4 linked regions of the Caenorhabditis elegans genome follow. The protein of the gene in region 3 purifies or fractionates together with the protein of the main gene of each other region. This does not show direct contact. Each region holds a gene or a part of one and is shown on either strand. Other genes may lie near its edges. The genes, in order: herc-1, T05C1.2, F34D10.9 and pdhk-2.

The links.
Region 1: the proteins of F34D10.9 (region 3) and herc-1 fractionate together in Caenorhabditis elegans (co-fractionation; one large-scale study listed by BioGRID). This does not show direct contact.
Region 2: the proteins of F34D10.9 (region 3) and T05C1.2 fractionate together in Caenorhabditis elegans (co-fractionation; one large-scale study listed by BioGRID). This does not show direct contact.
Region 4: the proteins of F34D10.9 (region 3) and pdhk-2 fractionate together in Caenorhabditis elegans (co-fractionation; one large-scale study listed by BioGRID). This does not show direct contact.

What each region holds. Positions count from the first base shown.
Region 1 is NC_003279.8:1,209,875-1,214,505, reverse strand, and holds the start of herc-1 (HECT domain-containing protein), read right to left. Parts: upstream 3,022-4,631; 5' UTR 3,012-3,021; coding exon 2,918-3,011; intron 1,933-2,917; coding exon 1,733-1,932; intron 720-1,732; coding exon 527-719; intron 1-526. Other genes in the region: nsun-2 (tRNA (cytosine(34)-C(5))-methyltransferase), read right to left, coding at 3,501-3,644.
Region 2 is NC_003280.10:4,480,402-4,484,043, forward strand, and holds T05C1.2 (Protease III), read right to left. Parts: upstream 1,721-3,642; 5' UTR 1,714-1,720; coding exon 1,667-1,713; intron 1,394-1,666; exon of another isoform or gene 1,393-1,393; coding exon 1,320-1,392; intron 738-1,319; coding exon 624-737; 3' UTR 542-623; downstream 1-541. Other genes in the region: T05C1.1 (Activin_recp domain-containing protein), read left to right, coding at 181-367.
Region 3 is NC_003281.10:3,726,205-3,731,292, forward strand, and holds F34D10.9 (CPSF_A domain-containing protein), read right to left. Parts: upstream 3,417-5,088; 5' UTR 3,367-3,416; coding exon 3,352-3,366; intron 3,305-3,351; coding exon 2,884-3,304; intron 2,410-2,883; coding exon 2,103-2,409; intron 2,054-2,102; coding exon 1,940-2,053; intron 1,628-1,939; coding exon 1,484-1,627; intron 1,434-1,483; coding exon 1,332-1,433; intron 1,031-1,331; coding exon 815-1,030; intron 768-814; coding exon 699-767; intron 653-698; coding exon 577-652; 3' UTR 505-576; downstream 1-504. Other genes in the region: gldi-5 (Chondroitin proteoglycan 4 domain-containing protein), read right to left, coding at 1-141, 183-294; evl-18 (Cell division control protein 45 homolog), read right to left, coding at 3,897-4,053, 4,100-4,298; F34D10.8 (uncharacterized protein), read left to right, coding at 4,653-4,745, 4,904-4,972.
Region 4 is NC_003281.10:8,737,140-8,743,181, forward strand, and holds pdhk-2 (putative [pyruvate dehydrogenase (acetyl-transferring)] kinase, mitochondrial), read right to left. Parts: upstream 4,274-6,042; coding exon 4,206-4,273; intron 3,979-4,205; coding exon 3,724-3,978; intron 3,616-3,723; coding exon 3,429-3,615; intron 3,379-3,428; coding exon 3,275-3,378; intron 2,435-3,274; coding exon 2,299-2,434; intron 2,034-2,298; coding exon 1,935-2,033; intron 1,542-1,934; coding exon 1,434-1,541; intron 1,153-1,433; coding exon 904-1,152; 3' UTR 547-903; downstream 1-546. Other genes in the region: nssp-33 (DUF19 domain-containing protein), read right to left, coding at 4,950-5,012, 5,398-5,517, 5,567-5,641, 6,006-6,042. UniProt on the Caenorhabditis elegans protein: Inhibits the mitochondrial pyruvate dehydrogenase complex by phosphorylation of the E1 alpha subunit, thus contributing to the regulation of glucose metabolism. Required for normal lifespan.

The sequences.
Region 1 (4,631 bases), on a different chromosome or scaffold from region 3:
TGGTCGTCGTTGGTACAAAAATTATTAAAAGCAACAAAAAATGCTTCAAAATTAGCAAAAATTAGCAAAAAATTTCGCCGCCAATTCCTAACGAGACCCAACTTTTCTTTTGGCGTTGAAGCGGGATTACATTTTTATTTTTTATTTTCAAAAAAATCCAGCTTTCCGTTTTTGCAAATTATTCGAAAACAAATATTCCTTCAAAAGACGAAAAGTTTATTTTTCCTAAACTACAGTAATCCTACAGTACTACTACAGTACTCCTACAGTACCCCTACAGTACTACTACAGTACCCCGACCATATCCCCCCCACTAACCCCAAACCAATATCCATTCAAAAGAGAAAAAGTCAAATTTCCCTAAACTACAGTAATCCTACCGTACTCCTACAGTACCCCTACAGTACTACTACAGTACCCCGACCATATCCCCTTACTAAATTTTTCAATTTTTCAGGTTTTTGAGATACTTTTTGGACTTTTCCAGCAAAAATTTGAATTTTTTCACAAATTTCCAAATTTCTACCTTCATCCAACGCAATACAATGATTGGATCCAGACGCCACTTGTACAATATCATTAATCTCTTGAACACGTCGTGGTGTTCCCTGCCACGTGAATTTACTCTCCATTCCGAGTTGTCCGTGCTCATTGGAGCCCCAAGCGAAGACACGCCCATCGTCGGTTACGGAGACTGTGTGAGAACGGCCAGCAGAGATCTGAAAAATGGAATTTCTACGAGAAGGCGATCTATGGAAATTGGCTCTGCGAAAAGGAGATCCACGGAAAATGGATCTGAAGTAAGGGAATTTATGAAAAAAGCATCTACGAGAAGGTGATCAACCAGATGGGGATCTATGAGAAGGGGATCTGCGAGATTATTATTTTCGAAAATCGAATCTACGAAAGGGAGATTATACGGAAAGGCTATCTTTGAAAATGGGATCTACGAAAGGGGGAATTCTACGGAAATGGGATCTACGAGAAGGAGATCTACGGAGAGGGTAATTATGGAAAAAATCTACATTAAAGGCAAAAAGGGATCTATGGAAAATATATGTACAAAAAAGAGCATCTACGAAACGGAGATCTACGAGAAGAGAATCTACAAAAAAAGGGATCTGGGAGAAGAGGATCTAGGAATTAGCCATTCTACGAGAGGAGAATCTATGGAAAAGGATCTACAAAACGTCGTTCTGCGTAAAGGAGATCTCCGAGAAGGGAAGTCTATGGAAGGCAGATCTATGAAAAGAGAATTTACAAAAAAGAGAGCTGCGAGAAGGGTGATCTACGAAAAGAAGATCTACGGCAAAGGAATCTTCGAGAAGGGAGCTTGCACGAAACAGAGATCTACGAAACGGGAACCAAAATTAATTCTATGAGAAGGAGATTTACGAGAAGTGAATCTACCAAAAGAGTATCTGGGAGAAGAGGATCTAGAAATTTGCTATTCTACGAGAAGGGGATCAACAAGACGGAGATCTACGAAACGGGGATCTACGAGAAGAGAATTTACGCAAATGGGAACTATGGGAAGAGGATCTGCGAGATGGAAATCTAAGAAAAGGGGATTCCACGGAAAAAGAGTTTACAAAAATGAGATCTACGGGATTTTCTCGCCAAAAACTAGGGAAAAACGAAAAATTTTTTATTTTTCAAATGTTATTTAGCGAAAAAATATGGTAAAATCATTTTCTAATGGATTTTCGCCAAAAAAAAAACTCAAAGTTACCTGAATAATTTTCGCACTGCTTGTCCAAGAAACCGGATAAATCGAAAAAGAACCCTCAGTCCGACTGCCTCGTCCCAATTGTCCATCCATATTACTACCAACACTCCACATTTTGCCATCTTTTGTCAGGAATACTGTATGTTGTTCACCACACGTGACTGACGTCACTGCGGTTCCATCCATATCATTTGGAGCGCCAACTGAAATTTTGAACAATTTTCAGAGAAAATTCCGAGACGATTTTAAACTATTTTCACACAGTTTTTAAACAAATATTCAAAAAAAAAGAGTTTTTTAAAGATGCATACAATTTTGCTCCAAAGTAATCAATTTTTTTTCGTTAGGCAAATTGCCGATTTGCTGGAAATTTTCATTTTAGGCAAATTGCCGATTTGCCGGAAATTTTAATTTCTGGCTTTTTGCCGATTTGCCGGAATCTATCATTTTTGAAAAATTGCCGATTTGCCGGAATCTCTCATTTTCGGCAAATTGCCGATTTCCGGAAATTTTAAGTTCTGGCTTTTTGCCGGTTTGCCGGAATCTATCATTTTCGGCAAATTGCCGATTTGCCGGAAATTTTAATTTCTGGCTTTTTGCCGATTTGCCGGAATCTATCATTTTTGACAAATTGCCGATTTGCCGGAATCTCTCATTTTCGGCAAATTGCCGATTTCCGGAAATTTTAATTTTAGGCAAATTGTGGATTTGCAGAAAATTTTAATTTCTGGCTTTTTGCCGATTTGCCGGAATCTATCATTTTTGACAACTTGCCGATTTGCCGGAATCTTTCATTTTAGGAAAATTGCCGATTTGCCGGAACCTTTCATTTTAGGAAAATTGCCGATTTCCGGAACCTTTCATTTTAGGCAAATTGCCGATTTGCCGGAAATTTTCATTTTAGGCATATTGCCGATTTGCCGGAAATTTTCATTTTAGGCAAATTGTCGATATGCAGAAAATTTTAATTTCTGGCTTTTTGCCGGTTTGCCGGAATCTTCCATTTCCGGCAAAATGTCGGTTTGCCATTATTTCTTTAAAAAAGTTTTTTTTAAAGTTTTGTGAAAGATTTACAAAAATCTTCCAATTGTTTTTTTTTCATCCGAAATTTTTTAATTTTTAAAATTTAATTTCGGAATTAATTTTTTTTTCTGTTTTCTAATTTCTGCAACAAAAATAGCTCCGTACTAATTCTCTCGGGAACTTGAATCGTCGACTCGGAGAGCCGAACGCCGAGCTGTCCCTCGCCCGTGTGTCCACATCCGAGCAGCTCAGCTCGCATTTTCTGAAATCTGATTTTTTTAACAATTAAATTTTAAAAAAACAATCTAGAAAATATCATAGTGTGATCTCAACAACTTTAGTTTTTGAAGCAGTATCAGAGGAAAAAATCTGAAAAAAAAATTCAAATTTTTTCAAAAAAAAAAATCAAATAACAACTGCAACAACAATAAAGGGAACACGTTGTGACAGAATGTCTCATTTCGGTTTGATCTACCTAGATCTACAAAAAATGCGGGAGTTGAGACGCAGAGTTCTCAACTGATTTTGCACGATTAAAAACGTGCTGACGTCACAGTTTTTTGGGGAAAAATTCCCGCATTTTTTGTAGATCAAACAGAAATGAAACACTTTGGCACCACGTGAGGGAACAAAAAAAAATCGGTGGCCGAGTTTTTTCCACACGGCCACGTAGCAGAATTTATAACTGTGTAGGGGATAAATGGAGATAAATTAAAGGAGAAAAAAGAGATAACAAAAAAAAAACAAATTATTCAGTCATTTCTTGAACATTTTCTTCTGGAATTTCCAGAGTTTCAGCAGATTCTGGAGCATCAGTTGAGCTGCTGGACGGCTCCGCAGCCTTTGCGGCTTCTTCCTTGCGAGCCCACGCGGCTTCACGGTCTTGGGCGGCCTGAAAAATTGATTTTTTGGACAAAAATTTAACTTATTTCTCATGAAATTACTAACAATTTGTGAAAACTTCCAAAAAAATTTAGTTAAACTTTTTTATTAGTTTTTTTTCTTCAATTTTCAAATTATCCTATTTTTCTAAAAATAACAATTTTCCGGAAATTCTAATTTCTGGCAATTCGCCGGTTTGCTGATTTGCCGAAAATTCTAATTTCTGGCAATTTGCCAGTTTGCTGATTTGCCGGAAATTCTAATTTCTCGCAATTTGCCGATTTGCCGGAAAATTAAAATTCTGGCAATTTGCAGAAAATTTGATTTCTGGCAATCTGGCGGTTTGCCGATTTGCCGGAAATTTTAATTTCTGGCAATTTGCCAATTTGCCGGAGATTTTAATTTCTGGCAATTTGTCAGTTTGTTGATTTGCCGAAAATTCTAATTTCTGGAAATTTGCCGGCTTGCCGATTTGCCGAAAATTCTAATTTCTGGAAATTTGCCGGCTTGCCGATTTGCCGAAAATTCTAATTTCTGGCAATTTGCCGGTTTGCTGATTTGCCGAAAATTCTAATTTCTGGCAATTTGCCGATTTGCCGGAGATTTTAATTTCTGGCAATTTGTCAGTTTGCTGATTTGCCGGAAATTCTAATTTCTGGCAATTTGCCGGTTTGCTGATTTGCCGAAAATTCTAATTTCTGGCAATTTGCTGATTTGCCGGAGATTTTAATTTCTGGCAATTTGTCAGTTTGTTGATTTGCCGAAAATTCTAATTTCTGGCAATTTGCCGGCTTGCCGATTTGCCGAAAATTCTAATTTCTGGCAATTTGCCGGTTTGCTGATTTGCCGGAAATTCTAATTTCTGGCAATTTGCCGGTTTGCTGATTTGCCGGAAATTCTAATTTCTGGCAATTTGCCGGCTTGCCGATTTGCCGGAAATTCTAATTTCTGGCAATTTGCCGGTTTGCTGATTTGCCGGAAATTCTACTATCTGGCA
Region 2 (3,642 bases), on a different chromosome or scaffold from region 3:
TAACATAGACATTCCTGAAACTCAAACAAATATCTTATTTAAAAAAATGTTTTTATCCAAAATTGAAAATTATCTGCTCTCAAAACCTGTCCCTCAACTCGACTTTTACAGTTAGATTTATTATTTCCGCTTATTTCCGCCATAATTTAATTGACCGCATTAAACTAGTCCTATTTCCAGCTTCACACCCGGCCACGGAAGCGTCGAAGTTACCAAGGTCACCCAAGAAGCCTCACCACCAAAGTTGAACCCATCGAACAGAAATCTTACAACTGACGGAACCCAAAACCGGGACCCGAATTCAACAGGAAGCTGGAAGCTTTTCATTGTTGCACTAATTCCAATTCTTCTTAAAAATCTCTTGTGATTCTATTTCCCTTTTCCAAAAATCCCCTCCAAAAAACATTCCATGTACATATTTACTAGCCATCCGCTCCGCATTCTCCAAACTTCCCATGCATTCAATCCTTCCAATTCCGGTGTTTTTCGTCTTTTTTTTTGTTATTTTTTGTTTTGTTTTTTTTCTTTGAATAAATGAAACTATAAGAAAAGAAGATTAATTGAATATTTGGAGAATTGAAATTTAAATATACAATACACAATGTTCAGAGATCAGAAAAAAATCACTTGTTTTCTGGCTTCTCGTCGTCTTTTTTCTCGGCTACTGCTTCAGGGATTTGTTGTCTGGCGGCGAGTTTTGAGAGCAAAGGAGCTGCTGGATGACGGGCAGTGTCGGCCTGAAAACGGAAGATTTGTTGATAAAATATGATTTTCAATAGCTGGGCTATTGAAGTGCCGACCAGAAATTCTTCAAAATGTCATATTGCACCATGTTTTCCTAATTTTTGTCATAAAAATTATATTATAGTAAATAGAATAATTTTTTCTTTATTTTAAAATAGCTTTCATTTTAGTTTAAAAAATTAAAAACTATCAAACTTTTTCCCGACAAATTCCAACTTTCAGGCAGTTTTACAGTTTTTTTTTACATTTTTTAATTGCTCCAACTAAACTCAAAGCTATTTTCAAATAAAGCACATATTTTTCATTTTTTATTATCAAAATTGAATGTAAAATATTGACACATTTTGTCCAATTTTTAAGAATTGCTGGCCTGCATTTGCCGAACAAACTTATCTAACTCTCGTATTTTTTACTCTATAGAGTGAGTTTGCAGGATAATTTTCTTAACCGAAAAATCCAAAAAAATCTATTTGAGGCCCAAACCCCCTAAAAATTTCTCAGATGTCTGAATCATTTCGATAATATTTCAGTAATGTTTCCGAAACTAAAAATTAGACTTTGTTTCAAAAAATCACCTGGGAGAAACGTCGCATATTGGACGGCAACAAGTGCAGTGGATTGGTCTCAATGGTTAACGAGTGGCGATGTCTGGAAATATGATAATTATTTTTTATTATACTGAAGATTCTAAAGAAGAAGCTTCTCAGACAAACTTCTTAGAAAAAACAAAGTGTGAAAGATTCGAAGAATTATTAAGACGCGACGCCGCAATTGACTCGCACAATTTTAAAGAAAATTTGTTTTTTTTTTCACAATTTTCACTGCCTGCCTGCCTCATGCCTACTTGCAAAGTTTACGCCAGGTAGGCACGAGGTAGGCACGTAGGCTTGAACGCCAGCCTTTTCAATGTTCCAAAACCTACCCCATGTTGTAACCTGTTGGTGGAGAGGCGTCTTGTTGCGAGGCCATTTTTTTCTGAAAAAAGACACCATTTTTATGATTGAAATAGTTTAATTTTAAGGAGTAAAATAACATTCCGCAAGAAAGAAAATACAAAAATCAAATCCAAAAATACTTGTCTATATGAATACTAATCTCACCGAGACATGACGAACGCTATATGTAAATTAAAAACTCTAAAAGCTACTATTTTCTCTCAAAAGTTGCCAATTTTTTCGGTGTCTTACTTCTAAAAATGCACATCATGATGGGATTAATCGGAAGGCAAAAAGAAAGAAAATGAGGAAGTCTAGGAAATGGGAAAAAATTCGATCAATTATTTTTAATTACAAGTACTACTAGTTTGGTCCGTTTGGTTCCAGTGACCAAAACCGAAATTAACAATTTGAAAATATGAAGCTTTTGCTCTCTAACTTTGAAACAATCCTACCTATATAAACATCTTAAAAATTGGGCGGGAAGTAGATCAAAAAAGATTCGGAAAAAATGATGTGAGTTTGAGCTGGATTGCAGAGTTTATCTGTCAAGCCGTGAAACACGTTTTTTTGTAGTCACGAATTGATTTTCAAAAATGCAATGAACTTTGTTTAGTCTGAAAAGACGCATAACTTGCAAGCAGGCACGCTTGTACGTATAGGCATCTTGAAGGCATCAGGTCTGCCTAACGGGGTCCGATTAAATATATGCTAATTCTAAAATATCCAAATTCATACTTGCTCCCCGAGCAACCACTAAAAACACACCAAATACGGGCAAATCCAGCTCAAATCTACATCACTCTTAATCTGACCTAGTTCCCGCGCAAAAGATGATTTAAATCCTGAGTTGTCAGATCCGTCTTAGCATTTTATTATATGACATGTACCTGCACATATATATTTATTTTTGGAACAAAAACTAACAATTATCAGCTGGGTATTATTTGAGAATTGTGTAGATCTGCCTTATAGAGGATATTTGCGGTTTTTCTTTTGGGGATTTTAAACAATGATTCAAATCTCAACTGTCGAATAAAAATTTCTAGAATTTAGCTTCAGATTTTCTGAAAATTTTGGCAAGAACCACGGTGCATGTACTTCCAGAAAAACAAAACAAAAATATATATCCTAACCCGGAACCGACTGTCCTTCAAAAAAAGGAACATTTGAGAAGAATGATGGGGGAAAAATGAGTGATCGTAAAGCGATAAGTGCTCAAAAAAACATGAGAGAACGCACCCTCGTCTCGGTGCTGAAAAATAACCATTTTTGGTGTGTGTGGCAGCTCAAAATGTCAAGTGGGGTGGCTAATGAAAAATTCAGAGAAGCGAATTGGAATTGGTTGTACCTATAGGAAAACAACAAGCTGTTTTGCTAAAGATCTTCAAAAGAAAAAAAATCTACATATATATATATATCCCTGCTTACCTACCTGCCCGCCTACGAGCCCGCAAGCATGCCTACCTGCCTACATGGCTGATTACCTTCGCCGATGCTTGTTTTCGTACACTGAACTCCGTCATAAAAGCTTTTCAAGTTACCTCATTACAATTCGCCTACCTGCAGACCTACTTGTGTTTCTCATTCCTAACTGCTTTAGTGCCTGCCTAGCACCTGCCTGGTTACGTGTCTTTCTCATTCCTGAATTTGTCTGTATGTTCCTGTCTCATATTTGACTCTCTAAGCCTTACATGCCTACAGGACTGCCTACTGACCTGTCTGTCTACCTACCTTCCATTTTTGCGCCTACATATCAAGTTTAATTTTTTTAAAACTTTCTCCCGTTTAAATTATTTTCCAGGTGTTAAAATGCATAGACCTAAGACTCTCCCTATTTTTTTCAATTAATTGAATATATTCTCAGCTTCTCCGGCAGTCAGGCTGAAAATTGAAAAACAGAGCAAAAACAGAAAAAAAAACACAAAGCAACATATACATAAGCTGAAAGCAAATGCCTTTC
Region 3 (5,088 bases):
TCATCGTTTCCGGGTTCTTAGCGGCATCGAAAAGTGCACCGATGTTGTCCAAAGCAGGCATACACCGTCGGAGGCAAGATGGCATATCAAATGAAGTGAACAGTTTCGTCAGGTTCATTGAACTCGTACCCTGAAAAGAACCTTCAGCGAGATTTATAGAGATAACAATAATCAGTACATACCGAGAATCTTGGTGACAATGTTAGCGGAATCATTAGCAATATCGTGAATTGTTGGATCCGAGTCGATTCCTATGATTAGTAGAACTGTTACGGAGTAAAAGCAGAGACGCATGCCTGTAAAAATATAAATATTTTTAACAATTAATTATAAATTCAATACTTTAAACATGATTTAAACAAAAAGATTCAGCGAGAAAAAATAATATTTTCGGTAACAATAGTTTTGACGAGCGCGCTCGCAATGTGGTTTTTCGCGGCGAGACCTACACATGCCAAATGGGTGTTACCGTAGTTTAAAAAAAAAAATTATATTTGAATATTTGAAATACAGCAAATTCATTGTAAGTTCTCATCGATAAAAGTTCAAATAGGGTTAGTAGAGGGTTTCCAGATATTATATGCTCCACATCCAATCAATAACACCGGTCAAACGTCTCAATAAACTTGACTTTTCGAATGATGGAAAGTTCCTGTAATAATCTAAATCATAAAATTGAAGATTTCACTAGATATTACCTGTATGCTGAATAAGTTGCTAGCTGTGCCAATGATTGAGGTTTCATAGGATTTCGGTAATAGCTTAATCTATAAAAAAAAGAATTTGAATTAAATCGATAAAACGAGCAACTTACTCCATCTCTCGGCTCTTTTCAGTGGGATGATCAAGTACAAGAGCTCCACCATCAGAATCTACATCAAATCCCATTGCAAACTCCGTTTCGTTAGGATCCATCTTGCTTTTCAGAACTCGAGCCGAATGCTCATATCGGAAGAATCGACGACGATTGATATCAAGATAACACAAATGAAATTGTTTTTGCGGAGAATAGATAGGGATCATTGTTGGTCTGAAAATGACAAAAATTATTCATTCTTCATAGTGGAAAAGTTGCAAATTTTCAACAATACGGTATCAGGTCTCGAAACGACACATTCTTGTTAAATGCAAAAATATGTGCGCCTTTAAGGATTATTTACTGTAATTTTAAAATATCATTGCTGCGGAAATTTTGTTGTTGTTCTCACAATTTATTGAAATAAAACAGAAGAAAATTTTTGGCATATTGCTTAACGACCATTGTGCCTGAGATCGTGGCCAGACCCATTCACCACATTTTTGTAAAATTACAATATTGCCCAAGAACTAACCCGTGTAGAAACATAAAAAATCTTGTGAGACAGTGGAATGTGAACCCATTGTCGAATCTCCACAAGTACATACTTCCTTGAAATCCAATAACCATTAATCTCCTGAAATTTTGAAAATTCAGCTTGAAAATCATTTATTCAAAATCCTTTACAGCATAACTCCAACATAAAAATGCTTAAATCTCCAATACAAAGTGTTCAGCTTTTCAACATCTCTAACCGAGAAGGTCATCCAAACATTTCCACGTTTTGCTCTCATATTCACAATTGAAGTCACTATGAGAGGCTCACAAATTCTAAAAAAAATTACTTTCAATAATTATATTACCCAGGCGTGGAAGGTTGTGCCAAAAGTTCGGTACTCGGTCTCGCCACGGCAAAATTGTGTTAAATGCGAAAAAGTGTGCGCCTTTAAAAAACTGTAATTTGAAACTTTCGTTGTTGCTGATTAATATATTTATTAATAAATATCAATAAAAACTCAAATTTTAACAAATTCTGAAGCAGCAAGTTTGAAATTACAGTACTTAACAAAACTTATCGTGTCGAGACCGGGTGCAGTATAAAATTTCGCGTCTGTGTAATATTTAACTATATGTATAACATACGATAATGCAGAATTATCCAGTTGTTCAACTGAAAATGTGCCATCTTTTCGATTAATCATTCCCATAACGTTTGTGGCAAACACGGGCTCACTTTGAGGATCATCAGGATACACTCTAAATGCTAAAATATTAGAATTGAAAAGAATAATCCCAGCTTGCTCACTCTGAAAGTAGAACTGATATCTTTTCTTCATCGAGATGCAGTAGAAACAGACTAATCAAAGATTTAGCTTCAACATCTGATGGTCGAGAAGTGAGGAATTTATTGAAATCTTCCATCTGAAAATTTAATCTAAGTTTTCTGAATGATTTCCTTCTATATCTTGCCAGTGAGCTCAGATCCTCATCAGGTTTTGTGAAACAATTTAACGGATTTGCAGCGATATTTATTGTCATTCGTTCTTTGACACCTTCCACTGATGCTCTACCTCCACATAATAAGATTCTTCCTTTATCCAGAAAGCTGAGATCTGAAATTTTACTCAAAATGCCGAGATATCACAGAAATAAACGTGAAAAATTCCTTTGGTTTTGGCAAATTTGAATAGCCGCGCTTTTGTCTTCAAGCCACGCCCATTTTTCCGTGCCGCACTTCCGGTTTTCCCATTTTCTTCGCGGAACTCTACATAAATTATAATATATATTTTCTCATTTCGAAATCGACGTGCAAACGCGCTCCACGGCCACTTGAATGTGCTCCGCCTCTTTCAGATGGGTCTCGTTAGGAAATTGGCGGCAAAACAGTAGAAAGATTAGTTTCGCCAATTTCCAAGCATTTTTGCCGTTTTCACGTCGATTTCAAAAGCAAAAATCGGGAAAAACGTAAATCAACACAGAATTGTTACAAACGCAAGCACCGCGCGGAAATGTGGGCGTGGCTTAGAGGTCAATTCAAATTCGTCAGAATCAGAGGCATTTTTCAGATAAAAAACCGATTGACTCACTAACTAATGGGGGCCCAGACATTCTGCTAATAGTCAATCTTCTCACGACAATCGTCTGAGCCCATTCTTTCGAATGTTCCAGATGAATAAGTGTCTGTATAACTTGAAAATGCTCTGAATCGTAAGAAATCAGCGCGACAATATTATCCGAAATCATATAAAATTCAATAATTCGAGCGAGAAGAAGCGGATCAATATCGTCGTCAAGTTGGAACGTTTTTGTGTTTCCGGATGCCACGTGGTATTTGCAGATAGACTTTTCAGTTGCTGTAGTGATGACTTCTGGAGCTTGTTCCGGAGCTTCAACTATGCTCAATACGATGCGAACTTTAAGACCATAAAGAACACTTCCATCACGATTTACAGCAAGATATTGAGCTCCATCAAGACCATTCGGTGTTGAACTCACAAAATATGATTGCTAGAAAATCCTCAATTAATCAGGAAAATCGGCCAACTCGAACATACCTTATGCGTAGACATTTTCGAGTAGAAAAATGATAAGTGCGTAAATTTGAGACTAGATAAAATATAAAATAAATTAGTTTGAAGAAGTTGGAAGTTGATTTAATCAATCATCAGAAAAAAATCATCATCAGAAAAAAAATTACAATATGTTCACGTGAAAACTGATCAAAATAAAGTGAATATGTGACAATGAAATGAGAAGTGGAGAAGTAAATAGGGGAAATAATTTCAGAAATTGATAATAAAAATTAAACTCGGAAAGTCAGTGTGCCCGTGTATGAGAAAGATTGAACATTATAACAGTAGGAGGCAATTCTACAAAATAGCCTAATGCACCATGTTTTTCATTAAAAATTAGTGTCAAAATATAGAAAATCACTTGATTTATCACAGAAAACGCAGGAAAATCGCCTAAAAATGGCAGTTTCCAAGCCATTTTCAGCTATTTTCCGATAAATTAAGTAATGCTCTATATTTTAAGACTTTTTTTTTCATTAAAAGCATTGGAACAAGATGGTGCAATAGGTAGAAACGCCTGTAAGAGATCAGTTGGATGTGCCCTCAAAGACAGTCTGCAGAAAATCAATAAAACGAGTACGATCTTCAGATTTCAAGCGAATAATATCAGAATTAAAGTAGTCATCAACGATACGAAGTGGTGGAGTCATTTTCTTTACTCGTTCGAAAGCACGACCAATACACCTGAAAATAATCAATTTTAAAGTTAAAATTACAGGCCGAATATTACGTTTTAAGTAGTGAATCCTCATAAATTGTGGCAATCGGCATAACTCCAGTGACTACAAGCCATCCAGCACTCTCTCCAGTCAATGGGAACATTGCGATTAGCGGCTTTGTTGTACGTCCTTTCTTCATTGAGGCAAAGGCGCGAATCATGAATCCGGCGGTGTTGTAGAGAAAATGACGTGAGTCGACCATATCCTCGTCTGGAAATATATTTTTTAGACTATAAAAGTACTAAATTTTCTCACTAGTTTTCAATTTTTTCCCATCAACATCAACAAAATTTGATTTAAAAATTTAATGTTTTATTAATTTTCAAAATTTCTGATTTTCTCTGAAAACCCCAACCAAGACCCCAGACCAAAAGAGCAGATGTCCAAAAAGATTTTTACACGCGAAAAATTAATCTGTTCAAAAGAAATTATTTAAAAAATTCAAAACAAATGACGCGAGAAACGTGAAGCCTGATTTTTTTATTTCCCACTCTCCTTCAACTTTTTGAAACAAAATCAGTTCTCGTTAGTTCTAGTTATCGAAACTTGTGAAGAAGGTCTGCAATGGCTGCCGCAAAGAAATTGATGCCAAAGCGAATGAAGAAGAAGATGCAGGTGGAGAGAATGGCTCATGCCAGAGCTTGCAAGGTTGCAAAGGTAAGCATTTTGTTATTTGGAAACATTAGCTTCTCGGGGAATTCAGAATTTAATCAAAAAAATTGCGGGAATTCGAATTTGAGTTTTTTTCAAAAACCGCTTTGAGGATTTCTGAATTCAAAATTTCAACTAATTTTCCCATCAAAAATAAATTACAGAGAGAGGCTCGCGTCGCTGAGGAAGCATCTGGAAAATCAACTGGTGGATCTACTCGCGGAGCCAAGTGATAGCCGAGCCACAACACATGACCCCATCGAACTTCATCTTCTGATTATGCTAATAAAATGCTTAAAAATCGAGTTTTTATTTTCTCCGATTTGACTTTTTCCAAATGATTCTAAAA
Region 4 (6,042 bases), 5.0 Mb from region 3:
GCCGCACTCTTGCATGTCTAAACCACGCCCACTTTTCTGTGCCAGCGCCATTTTTGTAGCTTTTTAAAGTTTTTTGAATCAATTCAGAGCTGGACTTTTCGTCAAAGAAATAGTTTCAATTAATTTAAAAGTTATAATTTTTATTTAAAAAATATTTGAAAACTCGTATAGTAGCTTAAAATATTTAAAAAAAAAACATTTCAAACAACAAAGAAAGCGCCTAAACAGAAAAGTATAGAAACAGAGAAATATTTGCACTTTCTGAAGATAGCAAAAAGTACAGATAATTCTATATAAATTTCCAGAAAAGGAGATTTTTTAATGTGCCGCACATCTATGTTCTCAATTGAACTCCATGGAAGCATTCAAATGTGAAAAGGCGCTCACAAAAACACCAAGATTTCCATGGCACATCGTCAGCTTCTCATCCTAGTAGTCGTCGCCGAGTGCGCAGCGCGAAAATTAAATTGTTTTGTCATGGAAGAAAAAGATGGAAAGAAGAATCTTCTCTTCTTTTTTCCACAAACTTGTCAAATTCAAATGTATGAGTTTGAATGATTTATTCCAAAGTTGTGAGTCTAATTCGGGAGGGATTTCAAATCACAACGAACTCGTGAAATACGGGGAGAGAAGAAAAAGAAGAAGAATAGAGCCCATCGCACCTACAAACGATTATATACAAAAAAAATGTCCGAGAAAGAGTAGAGCTAGAAGAAGTTTCAGAAAGAAAACAAATAATTTTGCTAGAAATGTTTTATATACAACAGAATTCTCGGGATTTGATGGACACCGGATAGACAGAAACGGAGAACAGTAGAAGTAAAAAGACGAATAAAATGAATGGCTAGAATATATTCACAACTTACAAAAAAAGAGCAATAAATACAAAAAACTCGAGTACGATCATGATTGAGCTGGACGATTTCCTTGACCAGGAACATGATGCGACCAATCAGCTACTTGTGGTCCCATTGTCAAATTTCGACGCGAAGAAGTACTATAAATTGGGAGTACTTCACTAGCCTCAACTGGTACAGCTTTCAAGTAGATACATGCATCCGTTCCATGTCCTTCCATGGAAACCAAAAAGAGGTCACCAAGGAAATACCGAGCGTATAGTCGAGATAGTGGCAGTCCGTATCCGTAACCAGCCTAAAAATCTCGATTTTTAAAAATATAAACCATACAGTATGAATCTGGACTCTAGTTATTAAAAATTCAACTTATTTTCGAAAAATTAGAAAACTTTTAAATACTGGTTTTTTTCAAAAAAAAAACTCTTAAAACTTCTATAACTTGATCAAAAATTGGCTTTGAAATTTTTTTTGAAACAAAATGTGATTTATAATGGTTTTATTGTTGTTTTTTGGTTTTTCACAAATATAAATTTTTGGTCCATTGTTTTTGTTTATTTTTACTTTCAAAATACTTACCAAAGGAGCTTGTGTTCCATCACGTGGCGGTGGTGGAGCTGTTGAGTACATGTAGTTGTAGAGACGTTCGAGAATAGTTCTGGATACACCTCCTCCACGATCACAAATCTGTAAAAGAAAATATTTGAAACCTGCGGCAAAAATTGCAAAAAAAAACCAATTTTATTTTAAAATAAAACATTCGAATTTTTCAATAACTGTATATACATATGCTAGAATTTTTCCAGTAACTTAAAAAAAAAATTTTTGACAAAAAAATTAAAAGAAAGTTTAGTATTTTTTAGACTCTAAAAAATTGTTTAAAAAATGTTTTACAATCTCTAAAAAGTAAAACAATTCCATAAAATTTAGAAAAAATTCTTTAAATTAAAAAAAATGATACTCAGTATATTGAGACTGTCTTCTGTAATTTAGGGCAAAAATCCACAGAACCTCACCAAAATGTACAGTAATTTTAAATAAAATACGACTGATTTTCGAAACCAATCAATAATTCAATACCTTAATAGATAAATCCTCTTGTCCTTTGACTACATAAACTTTAATATCTGGAAGATCATCATCAACTCCATGATATTCAACTGTCGCTCTCATTGCATTCTGTAAAAAAAAGAGAATTTGAAAACCCCTCCATACACATTTTTCTGTTCTTTCTACTTTCAACTTAATCGTTTCCTTTTTTAATTCCTCTTTTTCCAATTCTCTTATCATTTTCATCTCTTATCTCTCTTTTTCTATCGTTTTTTTAGTATCAAAACTGCAACAGCACGTGGGGAAGAAGTGTGTGCGTTCAAAAAGGCACTTTGTTACATTGAAGTGATGAAGAGGCGTCGTCTTTTTTTTAATTCGTATCTTCATAGCTAACCTTAAACAGTTCGAACATCATGTGATAGAGATGACTTGGTACGGCGACAATCGATATTGGTTTTCCTTTTTCAACGGCATTGTGCATTTCAAGCTTCATTGATGGACTTGTCAAGTAGTATCGATCACATAGAAATCTGTAACAAAAAATTATTATATGAAAATATTAGCTTTTTCTGTTTTTTTTTAAGTTTTTCCGATTAAAATCATGTCGCTAAATTTCAGGTGAAATAGTTTCAGCCGTTCCTTTATTTTTGCAAAAGTGAAAAAAATCATTAAAAATTTTTTTGTGTTTTTTTAACCCTCAAATCAAATTTTCTATGATAATTTTGTAAAAGATCAGAATAAAACTCCCACGGAAATTTTCTAAATCAAAATTGCATATTTTCCTCCTTATCCCTCTAATTCATATTTTCGTTCTTTGAAATGATCAGGTTTGCCCGAAATCACACGCGTTTTAAAAAATCAAACGTCATCCCTCTCCATCTCAAAGAACACTCCCTGCACGGAAGAAAGGTTGAATGGGCAGTGGTGGTAGAGAGAATGAACTATGTTTTCAGGCTCAAATGACAACTGACGACTATGTGCTCACCCAGAGACACAGCACATTCAATCTTCGTCGCAGACGGACAGCGAAGAACTAGCTTATCAAAAACCCAAAAGACGCCATTCGTATAGTTGAGAAGGCCTGATGAGGACCAGAGCGGTCCAACGGAAATTTTTGTTAAAATTTATTGACTTTTCGTAAATTTTTTGAGAAAAATTTACTCAGAATTAATTTATCACAATTTTCTGCAAGAATTAAGAGCCGGAAGTTCTAGCAAAGAAGCAAAAAATGAAGAAATGGAAGGTATTGCTGAGGGCCTTGAACATCAATCTCAAAAAAAAAATTTTAGAACATTTTCTGGTGAAACTTTGGACTTTTATCGGCTTATTTCTTTAATTTCTAGGCAATTTTATCATCAACTTGCACTCACCGAGCATTTTCAAAAGCATCGTACACTACACTTTCCACATCACAGGCAGGATCAATACATCCAACATGACGAGGACTTTCTGGGAGAACATTTCCGAATACAACCTGGAAAAAATGTTTTATTTGAAAATATTAAAATTTTTAAAATAACTTACCAGATGTTGATTTTGAAGCATACGAATGGAAATTCTGTTGATGTAAAATCGATCCAAGAAATATTGAATTCCTTTTTCACTTGCAATATCTACTCCATCCGATTCTCGAAGTTCAATCAATCCTTCAGCCATTGTTTCGACGACATGTGCGTGTCTTTTCAGTACGACTGTTAACTGATCATTGAATCTGAAAAACATAAATTAACATTAATATTTTAAAAATGTATTTCTAAACTTTTAAAACCAAAAAATCAAGTTTTTTTTTGTAAATTAGGTATTCAATTTTTTCTCTTACCTTGCAACTTGCTCTGGAGATGAATCAGATGCCTCGAACAAAAGAAGATCCTCGAAACTCTCAGCATACCAATTTGATACCATTTTTGAACTTGGCATTTGAAGAAGCTTTGGTGGAAGAAGTGTGAATTCCTGCATAATATTCGCCAAACGAACGAGAAGCTCATTTTTCAAAAATGTGTATGAATTTGCTGATGTTCCTATTCGACCGAAATCCAAATATTGTTGAATTGTAAGTGATGAAGGTTGAAATTGACTGAAAAATAACTTTATATTGAATTTTTCATCGAAACAAGATCAAAATTCACTCAACAGTGCAGAAAAATAAAAAAAAAACGACGCCTTAGCCGGCTAAAAATAAACAAAAACTAGTTTTCCCTGGAACAAACAGACCGGGCAGAGAACAAAGGCCATCGATTCCAATATTAAAAACGATACTTTTCATAATCTCCTGGTTTTTAAAGCTGAAACAAATATTATTACCTATAATAATCGAGTTTCTTGGCCAATGAACCCACGAAAGGGCCTAGTAACTTCCGCGAAAAGCGCATCTGAAAATTAATTTGTTTTTTTCTATTTTTGAAATGAAAACGAGAAAGTACAAAGTGGGACAATCAAGAGAAATACGTTGTTTACGCTGCCGCATTGAGAAAATTATGGAATATTGAAAAAAAGTGAAACAGAGAGTATAAATTGCACGTCGGCAATCTCCTCCTCCCATCTCGCTTCGAGTTCGGCCGATGCGATGAAAATCGAGGGATGCGCCAAGGCGGACACTGACGCAATTCAGTGTCTTGCGCAATTCAAGTTTACGGCGGTAGTTTAAAATTACAAATATGGGAATTTGAGCTTTTTGAAGAAAAGCCAGCGTTAAAAACAATAGTTTAAAATAATTATTGATGTCACTGACTTACTTCACTATTTTGCCATTATAAATGCTTTTTTGTAACCGAAAGTTTTTTTTAAATTTTTTTAATGTCGATTACTACTGTACTCGTTAAAGGCGTCGGTTCGGGTCGTGTCGAGACCGGGGTACCGTATTTTTGAGTTAACAACGAATTATATTGCAAATTAACATTACGAATATTTATTTATTGCGCCTCAAATTTCACAAGATTTAAATAAATTAAAGTAAGTAAAAACAAATTGCAATGCCAGAAAAAGTGTGTGAACCAGAACCAGTATACAGAAAGTTGAGAAGAAAAAATGAACTACTCGTTGTAGAGATTAGAATAATGCAGAATGCATGTCACAATTGGGCATTGTCACACCAAGACTGTCACGTGTCACCTGAAATTAGCTGATATTTCAATAATACGGGATTTTTTGCACAAGGAAAGTTATTGATCTTATTTGGAAAATGACCAATTTTCAAATAGTACCCAACAAAAACGTTAGGGGCGTGCCCTAGAGCACTTTAATCTGGCAAAAAGTAGATCTGAAACTTATTCAGTGCATTTATCATTACTTGAAATCTGCCAAACTGATCAAAAATATGTTTTTTTTTAAACTAATGATGGTTGTAGGAACGCTTTTTGGAATTTCTTGGTTTTTCGAAAAAATTACTCTTCTTAACTAGATCGAAAAAGATCAGAATTTTTTAAGAAAAAGAAAAACATCTTGAAATGCCAAATTTTGAGAATTAAAAAAACAATTTTGCCCTTGATAAACATACAGTAGAAACTAATGTCCATGCATCGGAACCACACTTTGCCAAAATAATTGGATGAGAACATCTCAAATATCCATCCATCGCTCGACACATTTCAGTCAAATACGCTTCTGTTGATGATCCCTGAATCTCATACTTGATCTACTCAAAACATGAAACAAAATGAACTCACTTTTGCTCCTTGTGCTTCAGAAATTGCTTGAGTGGCTGCTATCTTACAGCTGATATACTCTTTTTGGGCTTCGACCTTAAATTTGATTACTGTAACTTTGTTGAAGAAGACGAAGAGTGTCACAACATTATTTGTAGATGCAAAAATGTTGTCAATCACAAAAGAGTAGAAACTTAAATTGTAGAAAAATTCTAGACAACTGTCTTTCTGATACTCTTTTAACCAATCAATTGATCAAGTTATGACAGTTATTTTTTTAAAACAGTTGTCCAGACTCTTTCCAAATTAGAAATATTCTAAAGTTTCTTTTGCCGAATACTGTACTTAGTTTATACCAACTTTTTTTAAACCAGTTTGTGATTTTTTATAATATACGATTAAAAGTGTTGTGTCTAAAGTGTGTCTATCTTCAGAATAACAAGTGAAACTGTGGCAGTACCTCTGCAAAACATCCGGCATGTTTCTGAAATAATGGT